4 linked regions of the Saccharomyces cerevisiae S288C genome follow. The gene in region 3 interacts genetically with the main gene of each other region. Each region holds a gene or a part of one and is shown on either strand. Other genes may lie near its edges.

Evidence for each region.
Region 1: mutations in PKR1 (region 3) and ARL3 together harm fitness more than expected from each alone (negative genetic interaction), as found in Saccharomyces cerevisiae (4 studies listed by BioGRID).
Region 2: mutations in PKR1 (region 3) and ERV14 together harm fitness more than expected from each alone (negative genetic interaction), as found in Saccharomyces cerevisiae (4 studies listed by BioGRID).
Region 4: mutations in PKR1 (region 3) and ERG4 together harm fitness more than expected from each alone (negative genetic interaction), as found in Saccharomyces cerevisiae (3 studies listed by BioGRID).

Annotation. Positions count from the first base shown.
Region 1 is NC_001148.4:455,266-463,332, forward strand, and holds ARL3 (Arf family GTPase ARL3), read left to right. Parts: upstream 1-4,697; coding exon 4,698-5,294; downstream 5,295-8,067. Other genes in the region: LEE1 (Lee1p), read left to right, coding at 494-1,399; KTR6 (putative mannosyltransferase), read right to left, coding at 1,853-3,193; mannosyltransferase complex subunit MNN9, read right to left, coding at 5,514-6,701; DIG1 (Dig1p), read right to left, coding at 7,216-8,067. UniProt on the Saccharomyces cerevisiae protein: Involved in the targeting of ARL1 to the Golgi. Can bind and hydrolyze GTP.
Region 2 is NC_001139.9:400,272-405,246, reverse strand, and holds ERV14 (cornichon family protein), read left to right. Parts: upstream 1-3,959; coding exon 3,960-4,376; downstream 4,377-4,975. Other genes in the region: DUP240 family protein MST27, read right to left, coding at 856-1,560; pheromone-regulated DUP240 family protein PRM8, read right to left, coding at 1,945-2,658. UniProt on the Saccharomyces cerevisiae protein: Could regulate export of the bud site and axial growth sites selection protein AXL2 and possibly other secretory proteins from the endoplasmic reticulum in COPII-coated vesicles. Seems to be required for axial budding pattern in haploid cells.
Region 3 is NC_001145.3:509,028-516,517, forward strand, and holds PKR1 (Pkr1p), read left to right. Parts: upstream 1-4,565; coding exon 4,566-4,934; downstream 4,935-7,490. Other genes in the region: bifunctional phosphoribosylaminoimidazolecarboxamide formyltransferase/IMP cyclohydrolase ADE17, read right to left, coding at 1-253; 60S ribosomal protein eL15 RPL15B, read right to left, coding at 707-1,321; YMR122C (uncharacterized protein), read right to left, coding at 1,674-2,048; NCW1 (Ncw1p), read left to right, coding at 2,288-2,542; EPO1 (Epo1p), read left to right, coding at 5,429-7,490. UniProt on the Saccharomyces cerevisiae protein: Functions together with the other V-type ATPase assembly factors in the endoplasmic reticulum to efficiently assemble the V-type ATPase membrane sector V(0).
Region 4 is NC_001139.9:466,189-474,822, forward strand, and holds ERG4 (delta(24(24(1)))-sterol reductase), read left to right. Parts: upstream 1-6,666; coding exon 6,667-8,088; downstream 8,089-8,634. Other genes in the region: PUF4 (Puf4p), read left to right, coding at 1-2,619; drug-responsive transcription factor PDR1, read right to left, coding at 2,904-6,110; SCL1 (proteasome core particle subunit alpha 1), read right to left, coding at 8,301-8,634. UniProt on the Saccharomyces cerevisiae protein: C-24(28) sterol reductase; part of the third module of ergosterol biosynthesis pathway that includes the late steps of the pathway. ERG4 Catalyzes the last step of ergosterol biosynthesis by converting ergosta-5,7,22,24(28)-tetraen-3beta-ol into ergosterol.

The sequences.
Region 1 (8,067 bases), on a different chromosome or scaffold from region 3:
GTGCAGACAACATCCTGTATGGGGTGCACGGTGTGGCAGTGCTAGTAATAAAATGATGTGGAGATTAACATGTTGTGGTACGGTATTCTTATCTTCAAGGTACCACAGTATAATTCTGCCTTTATCATTTTTTATTTGTATTATGTATTTTCGTGCTTATCTTGTAATTTTTAAGTTTTGGATTTCGGTGCTTCGTGTAGTTCTTCCCCTATATCTCAATCTAAAGTAAATTATTACAAAATATGGTGGTGATCTTTTAATCTCAAAGCTTCTTTTACTCCGGGCATTATAAAAACAGAATCTCTTAGCAGTTACTCTTTTCCCTTTTCTCTTGTGCCGTCATATTAGAGTAATTATAATTTCTTCTTTTTCGGCTTCCCCTTGTTTCTACAAAATCTCGATTTTATTATCTAACACTATCATAACTACTACTATTACTATTACTATTATTATTATTATTATAAATCTTAAAACTATTATTTGCTAAAACAAAATGGATGCTTTTGAGAATATGTCTGTATCAAATCATCCGGGCGGTAACGCAAGAAGAAACTCCCAATCAGCAAACGAAATGCTTGCATCGCAAATTCAGGATTTCCAGAATATTCCAAGGTCTTTCAATGACAGCAATGCAAATGTAAATTTGTCAAAAAATTGTACTGTCGGCAATCAACTGCCTTTCTCATCACGTCAACAAAAAATTATCATGGAACATTTACTGATAACGAAGAACAATTCTCAACAGCAGAAGGACTATTCACACGTGCCATGCAAATTTTTTAAGATGGGCAATTGCCAAGCTGGCTCGTCTTGTCCCTTTTCCCATTCCCCAGATATTATCAGTTCTGCGAATAATTTACCTTGCAAGTATTTCGCAAAGGGTAACTGTAAATTCGGTAACAAGTGTGTTAATGCTCATGTGCTGCCAAATGGGTTCAAGATGAACAGTAAAGAACCTATTGACATCACTCCCCCTTCACAAAACAACTACTTATCCCATGCTAGATCAGCTTCTTTCTCTACCTACACGTCTCCTCCTCTGTCTGCACAAACGGAATTCTCTCACTCTGCTTCGAATGCAAACTACTTTTCCTCGCAATACCTAATGTATTCGCCTCAGAAAAGTCCAGAGGCCCTATATACTGAATTCTTTTCTCCCCCTTCGTCTTCTTCTTCGTACATCAACTATAGCTATAATAACTCCAACATTAATGCCTATTCTCCAGTCTCTTCGTCTTCATCTAACATTTGGCAAGAGCAAGGCCAAACTACGTTATCGAATCCGAGTGTGAATCAGAATTTAAGGTATCGTACAGGCCCTGCAATTCAAGAAGAATCAGATAATGAAATTGAAGATTTACTTATTCACAATTTCAATTCCAGATACTGTCATGAATGAAGAGCCGCCCCATCCATAGTTTTTCCTAGTTCAAGCATTAATATACCGGACCACTCTACATCTTCCGAAAGCCGGAAAATAAGAACAAAAAATAATAAAAAAAAGCACGTTTAATATAAAAAACATTTCATTGTATGAGTTGGATTCTTTTAATTTTATTTTAAAATACGGTTGCATTTTGCATAGTAATATCCAACCAATTATTTACTGAAATTTGAAATTTGATTAAAAAAGTCAAACCAAAAAAACTACGACAATACATGAAGCTCTGAATCTTCTAGCCTAGTCATTTTATATATATATATTCACCTCCTCTCGATACGTTCCATCATAAGTTAGTTTTGTTTTTCTCTTTCTCGCGATCCTAATTAAAAATTAAATAAAATAAATAAATACATATGTATATATATTCATATGTAGAAGATTATTGTTCTTATACATCAGTGTTTTGATTTATGGTAACCTATCCCAACCTTCTGGCTTATCTTTCTTCATAATGTCGAAGTAATGTCCGCCACATGAACCACTTCTAAACGTGAAATCGTTACCCTGGTCACAGTTACAATTATATTGGTTCCATATATCATCGTTTAGGGGACAGTTATTGTACTTGTCATAATGGAATCCTATATTTTCGAAAAAATGTATTTTATCCTTTGGCAACAGCATCGATAACCCAATTGTGTGGATGATGGAATCAGACCATTTCCAGTAGAAAATACCGCCCTCTTCGTCGATGTAATTAAAAAATTTCCTGTAAGCTGGCGATCTATAAAAGTTCAAATTACCAATTTCAAAATTTGATGTGAATTCACAGTTGTTAAAATCTTCAGAGTCCTTTTTTGTAATAAATGACTTGAAATTATTCTCGGAAATAAACTTTGGAAAATCCTTTGCAAATTTTTTCGTAACATCCCAAATCTTCTCATTGGCTTCCTTAGCTTCACTCATACTCAATGTGAAACCAAACACTTTGCCTTCATCTTGCATCCACCTAAAAAGGTCATGATCAATATCACAGTACAATTTAATACCAGGGTCTACTCTCCAGTACCAATCAAACTCATCCAGAACTGGATGCCTCCAAAAAAACCCTGCAAAATATCTAGCTTGATATCTTACAGCTCTAGAATCACCATCCGGTACATTTGCTAATGAAATTAGCGATTCTGCTGCTTTATTTTCATCAATCCATTCAGGGTATACCCATTCGTCTGCAGGAATTTCAGCAAATTTAATATTAATTAACTCAGGATCACCATTCATAGAATCAGTTATGGCTTGACGAATCATTTCTTGCTTCATTCCGTCAAGCTCCCCCTGACTAATAAAAACCCAAGGATAAGCAAAATTTTTGTTAAACTTCACCTGCACTTCATCAATAGATTGTAAGATTTGGGTCATGGAATCCCTTTCAGTAATTAGTGAGACAAAGCACGCCTTTGGTGGTGATCCTCTATGATTGATATACGATGGCACCATGAACCCTAGCGTCGTTTCATTACCACCATAAGATTTGATCTTTTCCTTAATGGCATTCACGGTGGCATTTCTAATGGCCTCTCCCTCTAAAGATTGCTTCAATTCGGCTTCTTCCTGTTCACTTTGTATACGCCTTTGTTCCTCTGCACTAATTTTTGCAATAGGTTGCAAAGATTTCGGAAGGTATGGTGTAACATACTGTTCAGACATCTGCTTTGTTTTTGGATGATTTATTGTCACCATTAGCGCAAGCACGAAAACAAACGAAATCAACAGAAAGCGTGCTATTTTTTTGCTCAGCAGTACGTGCATCTTACCTTATCTTATCTTCACTAAAGGGCACAAAAGGTTGGGTGAACGCTTAGTATCCCTCTAGTCTTGTATACTCGTACACATTATAAGTACATTTAACAAATCTCATCCACATTTCTCGAATAAATATCACATGTAACTTGAAGGTTATTTTTATATTTTTTTTTCCTGTGAAGGAACAACTCGTGTCTCACGAGAGCGCCACTTAAAAAACGAAAAGATAATCGGCGATGACTATATATGTATGTGATTGAGAATAAAAATATGGAAAGATAAAAGACCTAGTAACGTTGTATTTCAATAGTGAGGATAACATAAAGAAGTAAAAAGATCTTTGAAAATGTATGAAGTAATACAGAAAAGGAAAACAAAAATAATAAACGTTTTACAGAGTCCTGAACTCATGAGGCTCATAGAGGACCCATCAAATCTGGGTATTTCTTTACATTTTCCAGTAAGTTCACTGCTAAAAAGTAATAAGTGCACACCAATGCCTAAACTTTCTACGTATAGTTTGGCTAGTGGGGGATTTAAGGATTGGTGCGCGTGACATCCCTCTAGACGTTCCACCAGAGATTGATATCATCGATTTTTACTGGGATGTTATTTTATGCATGGAATCTCAATTCATATTAGATTACAATGTTCCGTCAAAAAATAAGGGGAACAATCAGAAGTCTGTTGCTAAGCTGTTGAAAAATAAGCTTGTAAACGATATGAAAACTACGTTAAAAAGACTAATTTATAATGAAAATACCAAGCAATATAAAAATAATAATAGCCACGATGGTTACAATTGGAGAAAACTAGGCTCGCAGTATTTCATACTGTATCTTCCCCTATTTACGCAGGAACTGATTTGGTGTAAACTTAATGAAAACTATTTCCATGTTGTATTACCATCTTTACTGAATAGTAGGAACGTTCATGATAACCACAGTACCTATATAAATAAAGATTGGTTACTTGCCCTTTTAGAGCTAACTTCCAACCTGAACCAAAACTTCAAATTCGAATACATGAAATTGAGATTGTATATTTTAAGAGATGATTTAATTAATAATGGTTTGGATCTTTTGAAAAATCTTAACTGGGTCGGTGGGAAACTGATTAAAAATGAAGATAGAGAAGTCTTGTTGAACTCGACCGATTTAGCTACGGATTCTATTTCTCATTTATTAGGTGATGAAAACTTTGTTATTTTAGAGTTTGAATGCTAAGCAGTTATATTCAGTTAGAAGCATATATCCCACCATTAAATAAGTTAACATACTACTGCATTTTTATTTTATGTTTAAGAGCAGATACGTCAATGTAGCTTGCATATGTACGTATCCTCCCCCACCTCCTATTTTCTACTTTGAACTTTATGGGAGTGTTAGTATAAGAAATATGTTTACACCTTTTTCAGACAAATGTAAACGGAAAATTAAAAAACGAATTCAGATCGATGTGTTAATCAAGTAGATGAAGGAGAATAAAGCATATAAAGCGCACCGCACACATGTTTCATTTAGTCAAGGGACTTTACAATAATTGGAATAAAAAGGAACAATATTCAATTCTAATATTAGGTCTAGACAATGCAGGCAAAACGACGTTCTTGGAGACATTGAAAAAGGAATACTCTCTGGCGTTCAAAGCCTTGGAAAAGATACAGCCTACGGTAGGACAAAATGTGGCGACAATACCCGTTGACAGTAAACAGATCTTGAAGTTTTGGGATGTAGGTGGTCAAGAATCACTGAGATCAATGTGGTCCGAATACTATTCCCTATGTCATGGTATAATTTTCATTGTGGATAGTTCAGATAGAGAACGATTAGACGAATGTTCCACGACCCTACAGTCAGTTGTAATGGATGAAGAAATTGAAGGTGTACCCATCTTGATGCTGGCCAATAAACAAGATAGACAAGATAGAATGGAAGTACAAGATATAAAAGAAGTATTTAATAAGATTGCGGAACATATAAGCGCTAGAGATAGTAGGGTTTTACCAATAAGCGCATTGACTGGAGAAGGTGTTAAAGACGCTATAGAATGGATGATTGTTAGACTAGAAAGGAATAAAAAGTCAAGACCACCGATTTATAAATGATAAAGAAGCACCAAAAGAAATAAAATGTGAATGGTTTATTCTCAAGCTCAGAAATTAGTTGTTGTAGCACTTTTTATTCGGCATTTTTTAATATACATGTGTAAATTATATATATATATATATGAATATATATCTTGTTTTGTTTATTTTCAACTAATAATCGCAACAATATTATCTTTCAATAACGCTATAGCTTCTGTATGCTTTTTGCTCAGTTGCTCAATGGTTCTCTTCCTCTATGTGATAAACCAAATAGTTTGGTAAGCCAAATACATCGTAGTTTAATCTCTTCGCCATCTTAGCAAAACCTTCTGTTTCAATCAAGTGATAAAATGGGAAATTAGGGAACATGGCACCGTCTCTGTGAACTTCTGCTTTGACCAAAGTACAGCCTCCACCAACACCATCCAGCGCCATCTCTTCACCTGGTACGCCATTAGCATCGTAGAAATGAGCCATTAATGGCCTATAAGTGGCAATTTCTGCATAACCCTCGACAATAATCTCGTCATCACCCATCTGAGAGGCTATTTCTAAACCGGTGTCACTTTCTTGCCAGTTGTTGAAATCGTATGGTCTGATTGATGGTTGCTTCTTCTCTTCATCGTAAAATCTTTGATAAATGTTTGCAGCTAAGATAGCTTTGTTGTGTTTGGTCATGTCTTGAATTAAAGATGGTGGTGTCTCTATAATATCGGCATCTAGCCACAGCACCCAAGAAGTGTGAGGTCCTATGGTGGAGAATAGTAATTCATTGCGCGCCAAAGCCATTGCTGCACGTCTTTCCTTTTGAACATCTAAAGCGTGTCTTTCCTTCTCCATCAACTTATCAAAACTCTGGGAATTCTGTCGCAAAATAGTAATTTTACTAAATCTTTGAGTTTTCTTGTCCGTTTGAACCTTTTTAATAGCATTCTCCAATTTCTTTAAGGCCAAGTCACCAGTGGCTGTTCTTGGTGTAATGAACCCCAATTCAATCAATTCCCGAGGGTAATTTAGCTGCAGCAAATTGTCCCAGTATTGTTGATGAAATGTTTGCATTGGAGTCAATATCAAAATATGCTCCTTATTGACAGCTGCTTCTGACGTAGAGTGCAATTTGTTCAAATCATAATGTGCAATATGACCTTCTGGGATAATATCTTCCACGTGATCGTTGAACAACCAGCCGCTTTTTTTCTTATAAGAGTACTTTGGCATTTTGTATTTCTTGGTGAAGGGAAAATAAAATGTGTTTTCCTTTTCGTGTGCCCATTTGTGTTGGGAAATGGACTGGCCATTAAGTCCCAACAGAGATTGATCTCTCTGGAAAAAAATTATATATATTAGAAATATGGCCAAAACAGGTAGAAAAATGTTAACCCACGGGTTCTTTCTTAGGCGGTACGATACAAGAGAAAGTGACATTGTTTCCTAACTTTTTATTCTAGCTCTTTTAAATTCTTCTGTTTGAAAAATACTAAAATTGATGCTATTCTCTTCTTACTTTCACAAAGTGCGGAAGGAAAAATAGGTTCAGAAATAACGGGTCCCAAGAGCGGCTAACAGAAAATAATAAAAGCTTTTCTACCAATTGAGAATCCGCTTGGTTGACGACTTTTCCTCCTTTATTATTCTTGATTTGGTGTTCTGTTTTACTTATATCAAAATACTTCAACGCCAAATCCGCTACAACGATGGAAAGGAAAAAAAAAAAAAAAAAAAAAAGACAAACCAATGCTGTCGTGTCTAGTGACGATAAAGGCTGTAACTATTAATAAGGTGAATACTCACCCTCATCTTTTAGTTTATCAAACTTATATAAAAATTGTGTATGTACTGAATTGTCCTTGGTGTGCGAGTGAGAGTGTGTGTGTGAGTGCGTGTGTGAGTAGGTGAGTGTATGCGAGTGTATGTAAGTTTATAAGTGCCTGTGTGGCTACTATTTTCCGGTTCTGTGATGTGATGATGATTTTTTTGTCAGCTCCTTTGATTCATTCCATACTTTATTACATATGCTCATAAACATTTTCTTGTCTACATTGCTAGAGCTCAGGGGGAACTCGAAGGCAAAAATATGCGATGAGAGTCGGATTTCGCCTTGAAGAAGACTAGGTGATTGCTGCTGCGGCTGCGAGGTCCGCTGGAACGTAGTAAAAGTGGGAGTGGGGACCGCTCCGTCCTCGATGGCCAAGTCCGTACCCTCTTCTTCGTCTTTATTGGGTTCTGCCTCATGCCATGAACTCCTGTCCCGGTTTGTGCTTGTGCTTGTACTTGTGCTTGTGCTTGCGCTTCTGGCTTTCGTGTTGGCCGAGAGTAATGCATCCCGTTCAAAGTGGTATTCTTCAGCAGGTATCATATCTGCTGGGCGTAGATCCGCGCGCTGTTGCGTAGGACCGGCATTCGCACTTGATCCTACGCTAGAATTTCTTGAGCCTTCCTCGGATCGTCTGGTTTTCCCAGTGGAAGCGGTGCCACTCAAAGGCGAATCATATGAGTCGTTAACCCTCTTGTTTCTGTAATTGCTAGCACTATACTCATTTTCTTCGTAGGGCCTAGCGTTGCCACCTTGCATAGCATAAGGAATGGAGGTCCGCGGTCCCATTGGATATGGATACGACACGTAGGGTGTCATTATGGGCTTGTTCAGCATGTGAGGTGGAGGGATACCGTACGGATTATAATATGGTGACATTATGTAGCGATTCATGGGCATGTAAGGGTTCATGGCGCTCATGATGCCCGCCGAGGGCATGTGTGGTTTCCCATAACTATTGCTGCTATTATTCACTTG
Region 2 (4,975 bases), on a different chromosome or scaffold from region 3:
AATATATAAGATAAGTAACTGAAGAGTGGGTGAATTTTGATGATAATATATTAGTAACGTAAATACTAGTTAGTAGATGATAGTTGATTTTTATTCCAACAATTATCAATCCTTGTATTTCAGCTTCCATTGAAAACGATGACTATTTCTCATCATTTGCCGTCATCTTCTAACACCGTATATGATTATATACTAGTAACGTAAACACTAGTTAGTAGATGATAGTTGATTTTTATTCCAACAGTTACGTAAACCGTTATCAAATAGATACGCTCAAATTCAATTCTGATTAATTTTCATTGGGGCTGATCGTTTCGCTGCAAGTTGTCATAGTATTATTTATTTATTAATACCTTAGATTTTCTTGACAATTAACCAATTTTTAATCATTAAACTTAATAATATTTAATGCTACTGTACTTTCTATTATTATTTATTATTAATTTATTTATTCGTTCATCTTGTATGTAATCGTCCTCCGTTCTTTTCCCTTTACCGCTGGCTTGCGCGCGATGATTTCCACTAAAAGCTTGCTTGGAAATCTCGATCACCGACATACGCCCTGAGAATGCTTATAGGAGCTATCGAGGCGAAAGAAGTGGGGGGAAAGTAATATCCCGAGAACGAAAACGCAAGGCTTATTGTCATGAAAATGCAAATGCACCGTTGACAAAACCAACCACACGATTATCACGACTACTACCATAATAGGTAGGCAATGAACACTTCGTTCAGCAAATGGGTCCAACACGAATCGACTTTTCGAGGCTTCTTCGGCCGTTTTCGGGCCAGTTAGTGCTGATTATATATCATACTCTAGTTTATGTTCGCTTTACGTATGGCAGTGTCTCTAAGCTATTCCGTCTTTTTAAGAAGCGCATCGATATTGGGATGCCGCCTTCGCCAGTAATTTTCCTGAGCTTGTCGTTCGATCTCCGCTGCCTTGAGCAAAAAGTTTCGATAATTCAGTCTGGAACTAGGAGAAGCTGACTCGATGGCATCTTCAGGCTTAGCGGTGACCGGAGAATTGCCAATTGACGTGGCTGTTTGCTTCTTGGGGGTTACTCCCTCAACAAGGCGTAGAAAATAACGGTAGCAATCCTCATCGCTGTAAAAGTAATACGGAGTATGCCATTGCCCATGATTAAACAAATATTGGTTCATGTTGTATGTGATGATCCTCCATTCTTTCCCTTCTACTGCCGGTTTACGTGTGATGACATCCACTAAAAGCTCGGTCCTAAAATTTCGACGACTGACTAGCTTTGGATTACCATCACCTAATATTATTAACAATACTACAAGAGAAAGATAAGCGTAGTATGCAGAATTGAAAACACAAGCTTCGTTGTCATTAAAAAATATAATTAATAAAACCAAAACCCCTATTACCAGGGACAAAATCATGACTGGTGTATAGCGAGCGATTTCATAGATCCAATAACTCAAGTACGAACGGAATATGTCCTTAGGAAGAGCCACATTTTTCTCAATTAAATGTGCACTAGGTTCGTTGAGTGTATCTAACTTGACGTCGGTACTTTCTAGAGGGGTCTGCATGACCAATATATACCTTGTATCGTCTATGACTATAGTATTCCTGATTGTCTCTGTGCCATTGCATACTGATCAAATGTTTTAATAACGCAGGACCCTTTTCACGATTGTTTTTCATCTCTAGAGGCATTTTCAATATTGCATTTTGCGAAGTGATGTATAATGAAAATGTGGTAATAAGGCAGTGAGCTACTTTGTCACAACAAAGTACGAGAACAGATGAGGTTCCGTGGTGTTTTTGGGGCAACTGCATTATTTGGAGCGCCGTATATATTTATATCCTATTACAAAAAATCATAAATGACACTAAATTTGACACCTACTAGTGTCGTCAATCGAGAAGTAGATCCTTTGTCAAGTTGTGTGCTAGTGTCTCCCGTCTTCTGTCTAAAAAAACTCATCGACACCAGGATACTCTTGTCGCCAATATTCCTTTTGAAATTGTTGTTCGATTTCGGCTGCCTTGGTGAGGAGCTTTATAAAGTTCGGTCCGGCACTAAAACTAGAAGACTCAGCGGCTTCGTTTGGTGTGCCAGCGGTTTCGTCATTTGATTGTGCGTCTTTAACATTGCTGGCTGACGATTCCTTTTGCTTCTTGAAAGTTCTTCCCTTAATAAGACTTAGAAAATAACGGTGGCAATCTTCATCACGGTAAAAGTAGTAGGGAGTGTTCCATAAATCGTTATCAAATAAATACTGGTTCATCTTGTATGTAATTGTCCTCCATTCTTTCCCCTTTACCGTAGGTTTCCGTGTGATAATTTCCATCAGTAGCTTACATTTGAAATCTTCATCACTGATCTGTGGTCCAAACCTGAGTATTAGAACTATCACTAAAATGCCAGAGAATATGAGGAGAAACCCTACAGAAACCCCAACGCAATTTTCGTTATCATGAAAAAGAATAATTATTGAGATTAAAACCCCAATTACTAGAGACAAAAGCATGACCGGTGTACAGTGAGCTGCTTCATATATCCAATAACTCAAGTACGAATGGAATATGTCCTTAGGAAGAGCCACATTTTCCTCGATTAAATATGCACCGGGTTCGTCGAGAGAATCCGACTTGGCGTTGGTATTTTCTGAAGGGGTTTGCATGTTGAATTGATATCTTGTCTTGTGTAAGGTTATTATATGGTTTTGGAGGTTGTTATGCTGATTCGAATTACGACTTGATCTTGATACTAATTGAGCTTTGACGAAATATTTTAGCAATTCAGAACCCCTTTCATATTCTTTTTCTTCTTTTCATTTTTAGAGGCGTTATTTCACTAATAGGTACAGCCTCCGAAATAATACGTAATTGAAGATATGATAATAACAGTACGAGCCTTTTACAGGGCCATTATGATCATGAGTGAGATCCAGAAAAGCACATTGCATGGCAGTCGGATGTTGAGAATTGGGGGAATTTTGAGATAATTGTTGGGATTCCATTGTTGATAAAGGCTATAATATTAGGTATACCTAATATACTAGAAGTTCTCCTCGAGGATATAGGAATCCTCAAAATGGAATCTATATTTCTACATACTAATATCACGATTATTCCTCATTCCGTTTTATATGTTTCATTATCCTATTACATTATCAATCCTTGCACTTCAGCTTCCTCTAACATCGATGACAGCTTCTCATAACTTATGTCATCATCTTAACACCGTATATGATAATATATTGATAATATAACTATTAGTTGATAGACGATAGTGGATTTTTATTCCAACAATCTCAACATTCACCCATTTCTCACATTTATCTCAAAATCCACCCATTTCTCAATAATATATATGGTAAGTAACCAGTTGTCAAAACAGTTTATCAGATTAATTCACGGAATGTTACTTATCTTATATATTATATAAAATATGAATCATACTAAGTGGTGGAAGCGCGGAATCTCGGATCTAAACTAATTGTTCAGGCATTTATACTTTTGGGTAGTTCAGCTAGGGAAGGCCGGGTTTTATCTCATGTTGTTCGTTTTGATATAAGGTTGTTTCATATGTGTTGTATGAACGTTTAGGATGACGTATTGTCATACTGACATATCTCATTTTGAGATACAACATTTTCAGTTAATTTGTTTCCGATATAGTGTAACGGCTATCACATCACGCTTTCACCGTGGAGACCGGGGTTCGACTCCCCGTATCGGAGTATTTTTTTGAAAGTTTTTTTTCACGTTAGTTCCGTGAAGAAAATTTTTTTTCTTCATTTCGGAGAAAAAACAAGGAAGGAGAAAGATTTAAGAGTGATAGCTAGATCATGTATTCCTTAATACGAAGGAGAGACCTGGATTTTTCTCATATTATTATGTCTCACTGCCTACTTAACAAAGACATTTACCTTTGAACTGCAATTAAAGTAAAGTAAAAAAATTAAGAATAAAAAGAAAAATGGGTGCTTGGTTATTTATCCTTGCTGTTGTTGTCAACTGTATCAATTTGTTTGGCCAAGTGCATTTCACAATACTATACGCTGATTTAGAAGCTGACTATATCAATCCAATTGAATTATGTTCTAAAGTTAACAAGTTAATTACCCCTGAAGCCGCCTTGCATGGTGCTTTGTCATTACTATTCTTACTGAACGGTTACTGGTTTGTATTTTTATTGAACTTACCAGTTCTAGCTTACAATCTAAACAAGATCTACAATAAAGTTCAACTTTTGGATGCTACCGAAATATTCAGAACTTTAGGCAAACATAAAAGGGAGAGTTTCCTAAAGTTAGGTTTCCACTTATTGATGTTCTTCTTCTACTTGTACAGAATGATCATGGCTTTGATTGCTGAAAGTGGTGATGACTTCTAATCCAACAAGACATTGAAATCCAAAGAAGACTGAAGGGCCAAGAATAATAGACATACTTAATGGCCGCCCATAGATTGGAGGAAAACTGAAGATAAAAAAGATAAATACACAGAATGTATTAATTCGTGCTTCCCTTTTTTCCTTTTTTGCTTTTTTTCTCAATTGTCGGTGGGAGTTATCAATTTTTTTCGTTATTACCAGCATCTATTAAAGTAAAATACCGGTGAATATCGGTAAATAATAGGTTACTGTATAAATGTACATATAAATATTTGTATAGTTAGTATGCCATACAAAATAAAAAAAAAAAAAAAAAAAAACTAAAAGGTTGAGAACTTAAGGGTGAGCATGACTGTGAAATTTTGAAGAGATGCAGTAAGCCATCCCATATCTATTGCTCCAGGGCCCAGAAAAAAAAAATAAAAAATAGAACTTAAGTTGAAACTTAGTGCAAAAGATATATAATGAAAAAAGATAACCAAATCTGAATCTAAATGAAAATGAAAATTTCTATACATAAATAACGAAGAATAAAATACTAAAATGAAAAAAATAAATAAAAAAGGTAAATCGTAATAAGAGAAAAAAAAAGGAAAAAT
Region 3 (7,490 bases):
CGCTATCGATGTCCCTAGCAAGGATACCACCATGAACGGCAGGATGTAAAGTTTTCACTCTACCTCCCAACATTTCTGGGGCATGTGTGATAGCAGAAACGTCTTCGATTGGAAAACCAGCGTCACGAATCATACGAGCAGTACCACCGGAGGCGAGAATACGAACGTTCTTCTCGATGAGGCCTCTGGCTAAATCAAGTAGACCTGTCTTGTCATAGACGGATAGGATTGCGGTTTTTGTGTAATTGGCCATATTTGATGGTGATATGTGCTTTGATGTCCAAGCTAGCAAAACTACTTCAAGGGCTATTAGTTGCTGGTAAGAAAGATTTTAGGTACTACACTAAAGGTTAAAACGAGCGTACATTTATATACATAGATCCGAACGTGATATGCACATCCGAATATTAACAAGTTATGAGAGGAGTCAATTCATTTCTGGGCACATCAGGGTACACACATTGTAGGGTAGGATCTTCTTTATAAATGATAAGTTGACTTCTGCAATGACTTAGTTGGCATGATTAATATTGTTCGTTCCGCTAAGGAAAAAAGAGTCAAAAACTGCAAATTCAAATTGCGTATGCTGCCAAAGAGCGAAGAATAATAAAAAAAAAATAAGTCGAAGAAAAGGAACGATGAAGTAATCAGGTTGAAAAAATGTTCATAGTGCATTATTATTGATCTATATACGGTTCTAACTATTTCATTTTCTATACCTCCATAACGACAGAGTATTTTGTCTTTTCCAGGTCTTTCTTCTGCCGGCCTTGGTGTTGTTGAATTTGTGTCCCTTGTTGATACCCCTGGATTTCTTACCGGTGGCAGTCAAGCCTCTAGCTTCACGATGCTTATGGACGGGATTGCAGATCCAGTTGTACCGAGCATCTCTTCTGATAGCCTTGTGTTGAGGATCAACCAATATAACTTCGAAGTACTTGTAAGTAGAGTCTTGGTTGACCCAGTAGGAGTTCAAGACTCTCAAGTTAGCAGCACGACGGCCAACTCTTTCTTCAGCGGTAGCTCTCAAGGATCTTTGGTATTTCAATTCATTGACACCTTGGTTAGTTGGCTTACCGTAAGTAGCACCCTTTGGAACAGGTCTCTTTCTGTTACCGCGTCTAACCCTGACACGGTAGATAACGAAACCTTGCTTGGCTTTGTAGCCTAGTCTCCTAGCCTTGTCTGGTCTAGTTGGTCTAGCGGCTCTGTGAATGACATTTTTTTGTCTGTATTCCCAGACCCTGACTCTTTGCAAGAATCTCAAAACATCAGATTGCTTCTTTCTTTCTAATTCTTCTAAATATTTGTAGGCTCCCATTGCTTGTGTGGTAGGTAATTTGTGACTGTCTTTACGGTAGCTTTCGCCGATTACTATTGCCGCTAACTTCTCAAGAGTGAATGAAATTATCAATGGCTCCGGTTAATTGAAAACGTGGAAAAGTATCGAAAGGAACAAGAAAGATGTTTTCCGGGTAACGACATATGGAGCATCAAGACAGATACATCTCTACTGACTACATGTTTGTATCATCATTTGAAGAGATTGGAGAAGTATTCTAGCAATCGGTGCAAAAAATAAGAGTAAAGAAAAAAGACGTTTGTTTCCTTAAAGGAGCTGGAGGAGCCTGTTTTGGATAGCGGCGTAGTCGCTTTATTAATTTGGTTATACTTTAAACGCAAAGATGGCAGTACGAAACCAGCAATGCAGTGATTATATATTCCCTACTAAGGAAAGTTGCGCATCCAATGGGAAACATTTTCCTGATCTGTACCTTTGGCAACCTGAATATGCGGTTGGCTGGCAAATAAGGTAGCGTGGAGGCGGTGTTTTTGCCACAAACCAGTACGCCCAATCTATCCCTGCGAGCCACCGTAATGATGCAAATTGCAGTAAAGCAGCGCTTAGCCTCCAGCCGAAATTTACTTCCGTCGAATGCACGTTGGCCAGAATGTCTCTCGTCCCCCTTGTGCTGCGCAAATAACAACGCGTTGGTGCGTTCTGGAACGCGAAGATTGCGAAACACGCCTCCGAACTGACGTAGCATAGAGTCTTTCACAGTATTGCCTAATGCGGAAATCACATTGCCATATTGGTGAAAAATACAATGGCTAGTTTGATCTATTTTTGGGTTATGGTGTCTCGAGCGTAAAAAGTGAAAAAAAAGTATATAAACGATCTGAATTTAAGGCAGAATTCTGTTTGCCGCTCTCAGAATGTACTGTTAATTACTGAGGTCTCCATCAAACACAAACCCCAACCTAATCGCAAATAACCTGAATAAAAATGGCCAGCAGTACTTCCACTTCCGCTTCCGCTTCCTCCTCCATCAAAACTAACAGTGCCTTAGTTTCCAACAATGTCGTTGCCGCCTCTTCCGTCTCTGCTACTTCTACTGCTAGTTCCAGTGCCGCTAAGAACACTACTTCCAGTTCAAAGAACGCTGCTCCAGGCATGGTTGCAAACCCTGTTTCCTCGAAGTACGGTATCATCATGGCCGCATTTGCTGCTGTTTCTTTCGTCCTAGGCACCGGTATTTAAGAAGTTTCTAAAAGCCTTTTTTTTTCCTTCTGCTTATTGTACTATCAAAGGGAACGATTGATTAACAGAAAAATTACATAAAAATCATATCATAATGGACTCGCGGTTGACGCCTAGTTAAACCAATGAAGAGGTGGGCGAACTTGTGGGAGTTATATATATTTAGGCCAATTGGGCCATTGCATGTTTCCTATAATATATTTTAATATAAAAATTTATTTATTAATACAGCAACTCATTAGATTAATCGAGTGGTGGTAAGGCTTTTTTTGCTCGCAATGCGAGCACGTGACAGAAAGTGAGAATGAACGTCTGACATTGCTAGTGTCACGTTCAGAAAACGAGAAGACGGGTAAAACAAAAATATTGATGATTGTTGGTTAGCAATATCAAATTCATTGAAGGAGGTCACAACCGCGAGAGAAAGTAAGATGTCATGTTTTTGAATATGAACCTGGAGCTCGCATATAACTCTTTCCAGTGGCACCTTTAGATTTATTTTAACTCTGAAATGTAGGTTTTTTTTTTTTTAGACAAGTCACGATAAGTAGTTGTTGTTAGCGACTTTATTCACAGCATTTTTTTATGTAGCATTTGTAGAAATAGGGGAATTATATCGGAGTACTCAAGAAACTAACGGGCTTCTGAGTAAAGGGGCTTCCCGATGTAATGGCATCCAAGGTACTTATCTAACTGATTTTTGATTGGAAGAAACATTTAGAATGCAACCTCAATTGTGGGCAATTACGACCAATGACAGCCAAATCCAGTAAGGTTTCAAAGGGATAATTTACTGAGAAAACAGATTTACTATTCTGGAGGCAGGAGTGATATATTCTTATTCTTCCTATCCATGGGAATAACGATGCACTTTTTTATGGGTAAGGTGTGCTCCCAGTTTTTCTTACCAAGAAGTGTGCAATTGGTACGGTAATATCGTATTTGTTTGCACTGATGTACCCACGCTTTAGCCATTTAAGTTATTACGAATCTACTCTGTCTATTTTTTTTTTACCAACTCCCTACCCAGAGGGAAAATGCGTATGCAATCTAAAATACTTTATTTCCCATTCCGTGCCTTAGGCAAACACAAATGGATTTTGGCTGCATACCGAGGGGTCTAGGTGGTGATGAGGTCGCTACAACCCAGGATGGTTATCTCGTTTCTTCGAATTTCCGCAGCAAAGAGGACCCTTATTGCAGGGATGGAACCTTTTCTGCACAAAGCAAAATCCTCAGGATGTTTCTCTCCTCTGTCTTTCTTTGCCGAGCTCCATCGTGCTAGCGCATCGGACAGGAAGCAGTGAAATACAAGAAAAGTATACAAGCAGTATTCCTGCTCAAGAACCCAGTTTTCAGTTATAGTTTCCACTCCTTTCAATAGATGGGAAACTATATATCCATTAACTAAAATGGCCAGTCAGACTATCTCTTCTCCTCACTAGTGCCTAATCTCTGGTGTCGCCACTCCTGCTGCTGCTAATTATAAGGGCAAAGTCAGACCATCACTTACATTGAGGTGAATATTAAAACCAGTGAAGGTTCTGTTTTTCTCGGGAGTATTTCCGGCAGTAACACCGTTACTTATACCAAAGAGAATTTTTCTGTTGGTATGATTACTGACCCTGTCTGCTCGAAGCACGGTATCATCATTTACCGTTGTTTCTTTCGTCCTAGATATCGGTGTCTCAGAAACTCCAATTGAAGATGTACAGGTGATTAATTACGTCTTTTTATCAATCTATTTACCTATATATTTCAATTTTGATTTTTATTTGGCGAGTGACATGTGAAAACTTTGCCTATGAACCTGAATAGCGCATTCATATTTTAAGAACATGGTAGGGTATAGCAGATGTTCTTTAATTTTCTTTGACTGCGTTTACCCGGCGTTTTTTGCTTGACTGAAAATCAAATGAAGAAAAATAGAGATGGTCTTTTCTTTTTGTCATATCCAAGAACACGTCCATCTAATTGATTAGTGCCAAAAATCGCAGGGATATAACTTCGAAAATTTCTCAAAATGGCCAATTTTTTTGTTAGACTGTGGGAAAGTGTATTTGAACCAGGGACCTCCCCCCAGCTGATCATCGCCACACACGTATCTTTTGTTGCACTACTACTGACCCTCATCTGGCTCATCTATGCCACAAACGGGAATATCCACTTCTATGCTCTTTTCTGTATATCACTTTTACTATGGATTACCGTTATCTGGTTTATAAACGAATTATCACACGTCAAATTGAAGGATAATGATGAGCTGGATAAAGATGCCAATAAAAAGGACGACAGTGCCATCAAGGAAGACAGCGAAGACAAGCAAGAAAGCGGGAAATCCACTAGTACTGCCAGACGGACTCAAGCACAATCTAGGTCAAGAAAAGCATAGACAGATACATAATTGACTACATAATTATCTCTGTTATTAGTATATCACAGAGCTTCCGGGTAAATGTCCGCAATTGTAAATTTTTTTGTCCGCTTCAGGGTCTCCCCTGATATTTTTTTTTTTTCAAAAATTCCTTTTTTTTAAATCAAATTTTGGGCTCAATTATGGACAAATGAAGCACATGCAAAGAGTTAACGCGTGCGACTGAATAGAACAACTCTTTCAGCATCGCAAACCCTTCAAATTGTGAATAAATAGGCATTTCAAGTAACTGTGTCAGCAGCACATTGCATAGGAATTCTGATTTTTTGTTTTAGTGACTGCCCTCCTAATTTTTTTTTTTTTAGTTTACGGCTATAGCTAAATTTGGAGCTTTCTTTCATTAATTTTCACCGAGCTATTAATAACCCTACAAAAAGAGCAGAGAGGTACAGCCTGATCCGATAAAGCAGTGGGATAAAAAGTACTCAAAGACTATTTATAAAAAGTTCAAAATGGATGCAGGTTTATCGACCATGGCAACAAGAAACGGTCAGTCTTCTGCTAGAGTTAAATTGAGAAATAACCTCTTGAATAATGATATAGGAAATATTGACATTAGGGATGAAACACCTATTTCAAGGAACGGGAATGACAGCAATATTAACATCCAGCCTTCTTCCGTGCCGCAGCAGCAGCAGCAGCAGCAGCAATACTACCGTAATGGCATGAATGAGGCTCCAATACAAGCGCCACTTCAACAACGTCAAATTCCCATGCAGAATTATTCACAACAGCAACGCCAGCAACAACAGTATAATTTTGAGTATTCCAATCCACATATGAATGAGATTCCCCTCATGCAGCATAACTTCACCAAACCATCACTAAGCAATAATCGCGATAATGTTAATGGTAAGAAAGCTTCCTCATTTACCCAGAGCTCATTTTCCAATTTTTTCAAACATAAGCATCAATTTGGGAAGTCAAAGAAAAACACTAAGGGGACAGGAGGTGGTGGAGATGGTGATGATGACGATGAGGTTATCTTGGATGATTCTGCAAACTCCGACCTAACATTCAATGACATTCAGACCTTCGGTCACAAGGGCGGTGACAAATATGGATATGGTGGTGATTCCACTCCTATCATTCCAACATTGGTGACTAAAGACCGCGGCAATATGAGTAATACTGAGTATAGGAAGTACATTACTAATCAAAGGAAAACCGCAATGAATGCCATGGCTAAACAAACTAAAAATGGTACATTAGCCTCGTTGCCTCCGAGAGCAATGTCTTTGCAAAGTTTCCCGAATGGTAATCCTTTAATGCAAGCACCCACTCCTCATCCTAGATTTCAACCGAATAAAATGGTGAGCGCTAATTATTCGAGATCAAATTCGTTGATGAGTGGACCTCCCGGACAATTTCGACAGCCGCAGCAACAAAGAATGCTACCGATGAACAACTACAACAATCACCCAGGTCAATTCCAGAATACCCCACCAGTAATGCCCTCTGGACAACAGCCACCTCAGCAACCACGTACTCTGTCATTAACTAATGGCCCAAGATATTCACCCCAAAATCCTCGGCCATTCGCAGGTCATCAGCAGATATCACAAAGACAACAACAACAACAACAACAACTTCAACTTCATCCAATGTCTGAAGGCTATCGGACAATGTCTCTACAAAGTCAGAACGTTCCCCAAGGGTTTAATCCATGGTCACCAAATGACAACGATCGTAAAGCTGTGTCCATGAAACAGCCAATCAGTCAATCGTCAATTTCCTCAAAGAATAATTCAGCTTATTCAATACCGAACGTACAAAACAACTCCCTGACTACATTCTCTCCGTCATCTCCTACTGATGCTACAGCAATGCCTAACTCTACAAAACAAGGATCTTCACCACTAAAAAAACAAGTGAACATTGATCAACCTATTGAAAACAAGGGAAAACTGAATGTTTTGCAATTATCCACTCCTCAACAAAACGAGTTAAAGGAAAAAGAAAGGAAGCTAGCTGAAATGGAAAAATCTTTACGTGAGAGAGAAGCACTAGTAGAAGAAAAAGAAAAGGAAAGAGCTGAGAAAAATACTGAAGCAAATGAAGAGGAGGAAATTTCACATGAATCAGACGATTTAAATTTAAGACCTGCGAGTGCGCTAGAGACTGGTTTAAAAGATCTTAAATTGGAAAGTGAAAGTGCAGTCGCCAATAGAGCGTCCTTGTCGACTTTCTCATCCACATTTAGTGATTCTCCCTCCAAGCAAAGAATCATCAATACCAGAACAGGTATGTATAAGCTAGAAAACTCTACTGATATCAATGAATACGTGACCGCACAAGAATTCCCCTCTCCCGGAAAGTATAACTCAAATTCGGATAATGGCGAAATGAATACAACGAACGAGGTCGATTTTGATTTCAATACTAGTAAAAGGGCTTCTTTGTTACAATCCATACCGGAAAGAGATCCCAAAAGAAATGTCTCAGATGCTACCATTAAGCGACGTGAATCCGATGGCAATGGCAGGAGACTAAGTAATGTCAACATATCCATGA
Region 4 (8,634 bases), on a different chromosome or scaffold from region 3:
GACCCTGTCGTTTCAGAAACAGTCAATTCTGCTTTAGAGCAGTTGCAACTAGATGATCCAGAGGAAAACGCCACCTCTAATGCATTTGCGAATAAAGTTTCTCAAGATTCTCAATTCGCTAATGGCCCTCCGTCGCAAATGTTTCCACATCCACAAATGATGGGTGGAATGGGCTTCATGCCCTACTCTCAAATGATGCAGGTTCCTCATAATCCTTGTCCATTTTTTCCGCCCCCTGATTTTAATGATCCAACAGCACCATTGAGTAGCTCGCCCTTGAATGCAGGCGGTCCACCAATGTTATTCAAGAATGACTCACTTCCATTTCAAATGCTGTCTTCGGGTGCTGCGGTAGCAACTCAAGGTGGACAAAATCTAAACCCATTGATAAATGACAATTCAATGAAGGTATTGCCAATCGCATCGGCTGATCCGTTATGGACTCATTCAAACGTACCAGGATCAGCATCTGTAGCCATTGAAGAAACCACCGCTACTCTACAAGAAAGCCTACCATCTAAGGGCAGGGAGTCTAATAATAAGGCTAGTTCGTTCAGAAGACAAACTTTTCATGCTTTATCACCAACTGACCTTATCAATGCGGCCAACAATGTAACCTTGTCAAAGGACTTCCAATCTGACATGCAGAATTTTTCTAAGGCTAAGAAACCGTCTGTAGGAGCTAACAATACTGCAAAAACCAGAACTCAATCCATATCTTTTGATAATACTCCCTCCTCAACGTCATTTATACCCCCAACCAATAGTGTTTCTGAGAAATTATCCGATTTCAAAATAGAAACCTCGAAGGAGGATTTGATTAATAAAACTGCACCAGCTAAAAAAGAGAGTCCTACAACTTATGGTGCAGCATATCCATATGGGGGACCTTTACTTCAACCAAATCCTATTATGCCAGGCCACCCACATAATATATCCTCCCCTATCTATGGTATTAGATCACCTTTTCCTAATTCTTATGAAATGGGCGCGCAATTTCAACCTTTCTCTCCGATTTTAAATCCTACGAGTCATTCACTAAATGCAAATTCTCCAATTCCTCTAACCCAATCGCCAATTCATCTTGCACCAGTTTTAAACCCTAGTTCAAATTCTGTTGCCTTTTCAGATATGAAGAATGATGGTGGTAAGCCCACCACCGATAACGACAAGGCGGGTCCAAATGTTAGGATGGATTTAATAAATCCTAATCTTGGGCCATCAATGCAACCTTTCCACATATTACCTCCCCAGCAAAACACCCCCCCTCCTCCCTGGCTTTATAGCACTCCACCTCCCTTCAACGCAATGGTTCCGCCTCATTTGTTGGCTCAAAATCATATGCCGTTAATGAATAGCGCCAATAATAAACATCATGGTCGTAATAACAATAGCATGTCAAGTCATAATGACAATGACAACATTGGTAATTCTAATTACAACAATAAAGACACAGGTCGTTCTAACGTTGGTAAAATGAAAAATATGAAAAACAGTTATCATGGCTACTATAATAACAATAATAATAATAATAATAATAACAATAATAATAATAACAGTAATGCTACCAACAGCAACAGCGCGGAAAAACAACGTAAAATTGAGGAGTCGTCGAGATTTGCGGACGCAGTTTTAGACCAATATATCGGAAGTATTCACTCATTGTGTAAAGACCAACATGGTTGTCGTTTTCTGCAAAAGCAGTTGGATATTCTCGGCAGTAAGGCGGCGGACGCAATTTTTGAAGAAACTAAGGATTATACGGTTGAATTGATGACTGATTCATTCGGTAATTATTTGATCCAGAAGCTATTGGAAGAGGTTACCACAGAACAAAGAATCGTACTCACAAAAATATCTTCCCCTCATTTTGTCGAAATTTCCTTAAACCCTCATGGTACTAGGGCATTACAAAAACTCATTGAATGCATCAAAACAGATGAAGAAGCACAGATTGTTGTTGATTCTTTACGCCCTTATACTGTCCAGTTGAGTAAGGATTTAAATGGTAATCATGTTATTCAAAAATGTTTGCAAAGGTTGAAGCCTGAAAACTTCCAGTTTATCTTTGACGCAATCTCTGATAGCTGTATTGATATTGCTACTCATAGACACGGGTGTTGCGTTTTGCAACGTTGTCTAGATCATGGGACTACAGAACAATGTGACAATCTGTGTGATAAGTTGCTAGCCCTTGTTGATAAATTAACTTTGGATCCATTTGGCAACTATGTGGTGCAATATATAATTACCAAAGAGGCTGAGAAGAACAAATATGATTATACGCATAAAATTGTCCACCTGTTGAAACCAAGAGCCATCGAACTTTCTATCCATAAATTTGGATCAAATGTGATTGAAAAAATCTTGAAGACAGCTATTGTTTCGGAGCCAATGATTCTGGAAATTTTAAATAATGGTGGCGAGACGGGTATTCAATCATTGTTGAATGATAGCTACGGAAATTACGTTTTACAGACAGCATTAGACATTTCTCATAAGCAAAATGACTATCTCTATAAAAGACTATCAGAGATTGTGGCGCCTTTACTGGTGGGCCCCATAAGAAATACACCTCATGGTAAAAGAATCATCGGAATGTTACATTTAGATTCATAGTTGATACATATATCCTCAGTTTAGCTTTTTTTACGTTAGCCTCATATAATATCTTTTGTACAATACTAAAATACATCATTTTTTTTTTCGTTGAGGATCAAATGAATATCCAAAGCAAAAAAAATAGGAATTTTCACTTTATGGTATACTGGTAAATAGTGTTGAAGAAATAAGAGAAGGAGATGCCCTAGAAAACAGAATGTTCTTATTTAAATAAGTAAACTCAAAAGAAAAAAAAAAGGAAGGAAGTTTTTGAGAACTTTTATCTATACAAACGTATACGTTTAACTATCTGGATAAACGTCGCTCCACAGGATACTGTAGAGGTCCTCAAGATCACCGTTATTAACAAATTCATCTAGTGTCCCCAAATTAAAACTAGTTGCAGAAAAATTGTTACTGTTGTTGTTGTTAATATTGTTAATATTGTTTTTATTGTTGTTGTTGTTGTTGTTGTTGTTATTGATTTCATTTGTGTTCATAAATGGTACTTGTACTGAAGTGGGTATTTGCTGCTGAGCATTGATTGGTTTATTAGATTGGACTTGCGTATTATTTTGCCCATTTGTTGGTTGCGCGTAATCGGGATTGATCATATCAGACACGGATAATGACCTAAATGAAGGCAATTGTGCAAACTCCGGTAGTGAGTTGTTTCTCACTGGGGAAGGTGCTGAGCGACCATTGAATGGCAATTGAGGCGATTCAATGCCATTTAGTAAGCATGAAGTGCCCGTCTTAAGACTTGGGAGATCCGGATTCAAATTTTTTCCCGAATTATGCTTCATCTGCTTATTATCTTCATTTGACATTAGTGGTTCCTGAAACTTTCTATTTTTCAACATTTGTGAGACCGTTAAATGGAATCCTGACTTCTGAACAGGTTCTAATAAAAATCGATAAGCGCAAGAGTTTGTATCCAAGACAAGTTCTATTATACCTTTTAAATCTGGCGCATTCTCATCAATATATTTGGAGATAACATCGAGGTTGGTGCTAGAGGACTCTCCGTATGCCAAAAGCATGATACGAGTGACGATTGTCAGGAAAGAAAAAGCTCTTGTATAGTCTTTAAAGCTTTGGCTGTTGAAGACATGCTCATTGGTCTCATTTTCGGAAAAAATTTTTATATCCAAAAATCTTTTGAAGACTCTAATCATATTCACAACGTCATTTACTTTAATGAATTCGGCCACTGAGAATGCTTGTGATACCAAAATAATGCAACTGATAGAATAATGGGCGAACGAACGGTATACGGAATAATCGTTGTCAAAGTCTAATAAGATTTTGTTCATATCGGTCCATGATTTGTAAATCTTGTGAAGGTATATTTTCAAGTTTTCAATTAGTATTGAGGGCCTTCTGTGCACGCATAATCTGGCGACAATATTATCAGATTCGTTAACCATTCTGCAGAAATGGTGCTCGTAAAATAGAACAAATTTTGAAGCCATAATCTTATCCTCTCTTGAAACTTTGAGTTCAGTACTATCTTTAGAGAATGCAATATCGAACAATTTTCCAGTTTGCTCTTTGATAGCATCATATTTCATTTCTGTTTCGTTAAAAATCTCGAGTACCTCGAAGAGTAGTTTCTCTCTAACAACAGATGGTTTTGATGTATTCCTAATTGACGTGAATTTTTCATTGAATAAAACAGATGATGAGAAATGGCTGACTATTTGTAAGACAGCTAATTCGCCATAGTATTTTAAGTCGGATATGCACATGTTGTCAAAAGCTTCGCTCCTGCGAACTAAGTGGACGTTCTCGATAAAATCTCTATTATCCAAGAACCCAACATCTCGAAAATTCTTAGGTAATAAACAATTGATTTTGGAGTCATCAATGTTCGAAGGATAGCCAAGTTTAGAGGCTAAAGTTTTCTCGAAATAGAAAGCTTTCCACCAGAGATTTCTTCTTCTTTCAGCAAAGTTTTCATCAAGACCCACGTAAAATTCCCACCTTGATAAACCAACTCTTGAAACAAAATGAACTGCTACGTTCAAGACTTTTTCAAAACCGTATATTTCCGATAGCCAAAATAGCAGATCCAAAAAGTATAGAAGTTGCTCTAAATGCGTTATGTCGCATGTGAAGTCCACGTAGTTGTATAATGTAGAATTATAATAGCTGTAACATAAGGCGATTAGCGCCTCTCCAGCTTGACAATAATGGATGAATTCCTGCAAGACATCAATTGACTGCGTGTTTTTAGCCACGGAGGGGTTAGATGTGATTTCCATTAGGAAGTTCTGGTAGGAATTTTTATGCATATCCAACATCTTCAATAAAATGCCAAACATGCTGATATCATTATTCATTTCGCTTAGTAGCTCAGAATTACTTATTCCGGTTATATTTCTCACAAAGGGCTGCGGTAAGTGATTTATCACTAACGCAACATGCGATTTTGTGTGTGCTGTATTCGGGCTCCCTGCAGATGATATCGAAGATGGGGTTGAAGGTAAAAGATTCATTTTCTGTAGGTAGTTTTCCAGGGGATTAGCTATGGAGACACAGCCTTGGTTGATGTGATGAAAACAAACGTCGAAAAACCTTAACATGATGTATATGGTTTCCTTGGCGGTCCTGGGAAAAATCTCGCATTTGGATTTGGATCTATAATTTTGGAAACATTTACCAATACCTTGAAGTGACAAAAATTGGAAAGGAGAGTACAAACCAAAGATTTCGTCGATCAAAGGTTGACTAGAAGTATCTTGGTCCTTCTTATTGTTTGACCAAGCGGCATATCTTGTCAAATGTACCACATCACAGTATTTGTTTTTCATCAATTGAGTTTCTATTGATTTATTAGGGTAAAATTTCGTTGTTGCTAATTCTTTGGTCCTCACTTTGGGTTCCCATCGCTTAAGCAAGTCACTTATCTGAAGTTCAATGCTCTCGATGGCTGAGGTTACATGTGTACCTAAATGAGCCATCTCCTTCAAATTTTTCAGAGTGGTTTGTAGAGATGTCAAAGTTGCCTGTGATTCGCTATCGTCTTCATAAAAACCGTTTCTATTCACATCGTCGTCATTCTTCCCATCACTTCCGCTATTATCACCACTACTACGACCACCTAGCTTGAAATTCTCAAAAAATTTCGTTGGTTGTTCCACTGCGCATGGCCCGTCTGTACATCGCTGAGGATTAGAAAAAGAAGTCGAACTGGAATCTGTTTCCTCTTTGACTTGTACGGTTGTACCTTCCAAACTCGTCTTGTGAAGGTTTTTTATTCGAGCGCCACCTTGTCTAGTGCTGAACGTGCACTCACATGAATATATCTCACAGCTTGCGCAGGGAAACTTCCCATTACATTTTATCTTTCTTTTTCTACAGTTATCGCACGCTTTACTTACTTTCGACCTTGGCTTACGAATCTTGCCGCTGAAACCTGTAGAAAAGTTGCTGGAGTCCGCGGACGATTCTGTATCCGGACCCGTCTCAATATGTACACCGTTCTTAGGTGTCAAGCCTCGCATCTTCCAGTTTCTTGGATTCTTTTCTGTATATTCTTGGCTGAGATGAATAGTTAGCAAGTGATGTGCAAATTGTCTTTTTTTAGCCAAAACTCACTCCTGGTAATGTCTATATGGCCGCTATGGTCCTGCTATCATGCTATTGTTGACAATGAAAGAGTGGCTGATCATGTGTAATAGGCGAATAAGGTTGTTTTGAAGAGCTTTAATTAGCGCCTCTTATTGCCACTCATTAGGTCTTGAACAAGAAAAGAAACTCCATTTAGGGTATGCGTCTGTTTCCAACAAAGCCCTATTGGACCCTGAGAATGTAAATCAGGGCTCGTTTCTTCTCGTTTAATAACTAAACGAGACTCATTTCTTTTTCGTTCCTTGGCGCTATTTTCGTGCATCCCGTAATTGCCGGTATTACGCGATCGTTTGGCGTTACTATGGAAAAGCAGAATTATATATCCTCGAGGAAAAATTACCAAACAGTGGTAATAACGTAGGAATGTAGTTCAGTTATGTAGATAGGCAGATACGGATATTTACGTAGTGTACATAGATTAGCATCGCTATGGCAAAGGATAATAGTGAGAAGCTGCAGGTGCAGGGAGAGGAGAAAAAGTCCAAGCAACCGGTTAATTTCCTGCCTCAGGGTAAATGGCTGAAGCCAAATGAAATCGAATATGAGTTTGGTGGGACTACTGGTGTTATTGGTATGCTGATCGGGTTTCCACTGCTAATGTACTATATGTGGATTTGTGCGGAATTTTATCACGGTAAGGTTGCCCTACCCAAGGCTGGTGAATCGTGGATGCACTTTATCAAGCACCTATACCAGTTAGTCTTGGAGAACGGTATCCCAGAAAAGTATGACTGGACTATTTTCTTAACATTTTGGGTGTTTCAGATCATTTTCTACTATACGTTGCCCGGGATTTGGACAAAAGGTCAACCATTGTCTCATTTGAAGGGAAAACAATTGCCTTACTTTTGTAATGCCATGTGGACCTTGTATGTAACTACCACTTTGGTCTTGGTTTTGCACTTTACCAATCTTTTTAGATTGTATGTCATTATTGACCGTTTTGGGAGGATCATGACATGTGCCATTATTTCAGGGTTTGCCTTCTCCATCATATTGTACTTATGGACTTTATTTATCTCACATGACTATCATAGAATGACAGGAAACCATCTATATGATTTCTTCATGGGAGCTCCACTAAACCCTAGGTGGGGGATTTTGGACTTGAAGATGTTTTTCGAGGTTAGATTACCTTGGTTCACCCTTTACTTTATCACTTTGGGTGCCTGTTTGAAGCAGTGGGAGACTTACGGCTATGTGACACCACAATTGGGGGTTGTCATGTTAGCTCATTGGTTGTACGCGAACGCATGTGCTAAAGGTGAAGAATTGATTGTTCCAACCTGGGACATGGCTTACGAAAAGTTTGGATTTATGCTGATCTTCTGGAATATTGCCGGTGTCCCATACACTTACTGTCATTGTACGTTGTATTTGTACTACCATGACCCATCTGAATATCACTGGTCTACACTGTACAATGTTTCGCTGTACGTTGTTCTATTATGCGCCTACTACTTCTTTGACACGGCAAATGCTCAGAAAAATGCCTTCAGAAAGCAAATGTCTGGTGACAAGACAGGTAGGAAGACTTTCCCATTTTTGCCATACCAAATTTTGAAGAATCCAAAGTATATGGTTACCTCCAATGGATCGTACCTATTGATTGATGGTTGGTACACTTTGGCTAGAAAAATTCACTACACTGCCGATTGGACTCAATCTCTCGTTTGGGCCTTGTCTTGCGGGTTCAACTCGGTGTTCCCATGGTTTTTCCCAGTATTCTTCCTTGTTGTCCTGATTCACAGAGCCTTCAGAGACCAAGCAAAATGTAAGAGAAAGTACGGAAAAGATTGGGATGAGTATTGTAAACATTGCCCTTACGTCTTTATTCCTTATGTTTTCTAGTTATTTTCTTTTTCTATCCACTTCATTAACTTATTTTACAGTTTGTATATAAAAGTATTGATGTATTTACGCGACAAAAGGGCTTGAAAAGATTCGATTTTCTATTACTTGATCTACTTTTTCCTATAAAATAAATCCTAAATGAAACGTGTCCATACATATATTGAGTGTTGACGCGTGTGATTTCACATTATGTTGTGGCAGGAAGTATGTTAATCTTGTTCAGCAATTGCTACTAGCCTTTCTTCGATGTTCTCAGCACTCAAGGTAAAGAATTTGTCCTTTGTAGCGACACCGACTTCCAAGTCATTCTTTGAAAATTCGGTACCCAGTGCGTCAATCATATGAGTAATAGCAAATTCTACCACCTTCTCCCATGATTCTTCATTAATATGGTCGATTTTACTCTTTTTGAAATGGTTTTCTAAGTTTGTTGTGATCTCCTGTTGTTTTGGTCCTGTCGCAGTAGCTTTGTAGCCAACGTAATAACCTGCAGGGTCAGTTTTGTAAATGGAGGGACCCAATTCTTCATCTACCGAAACAAAT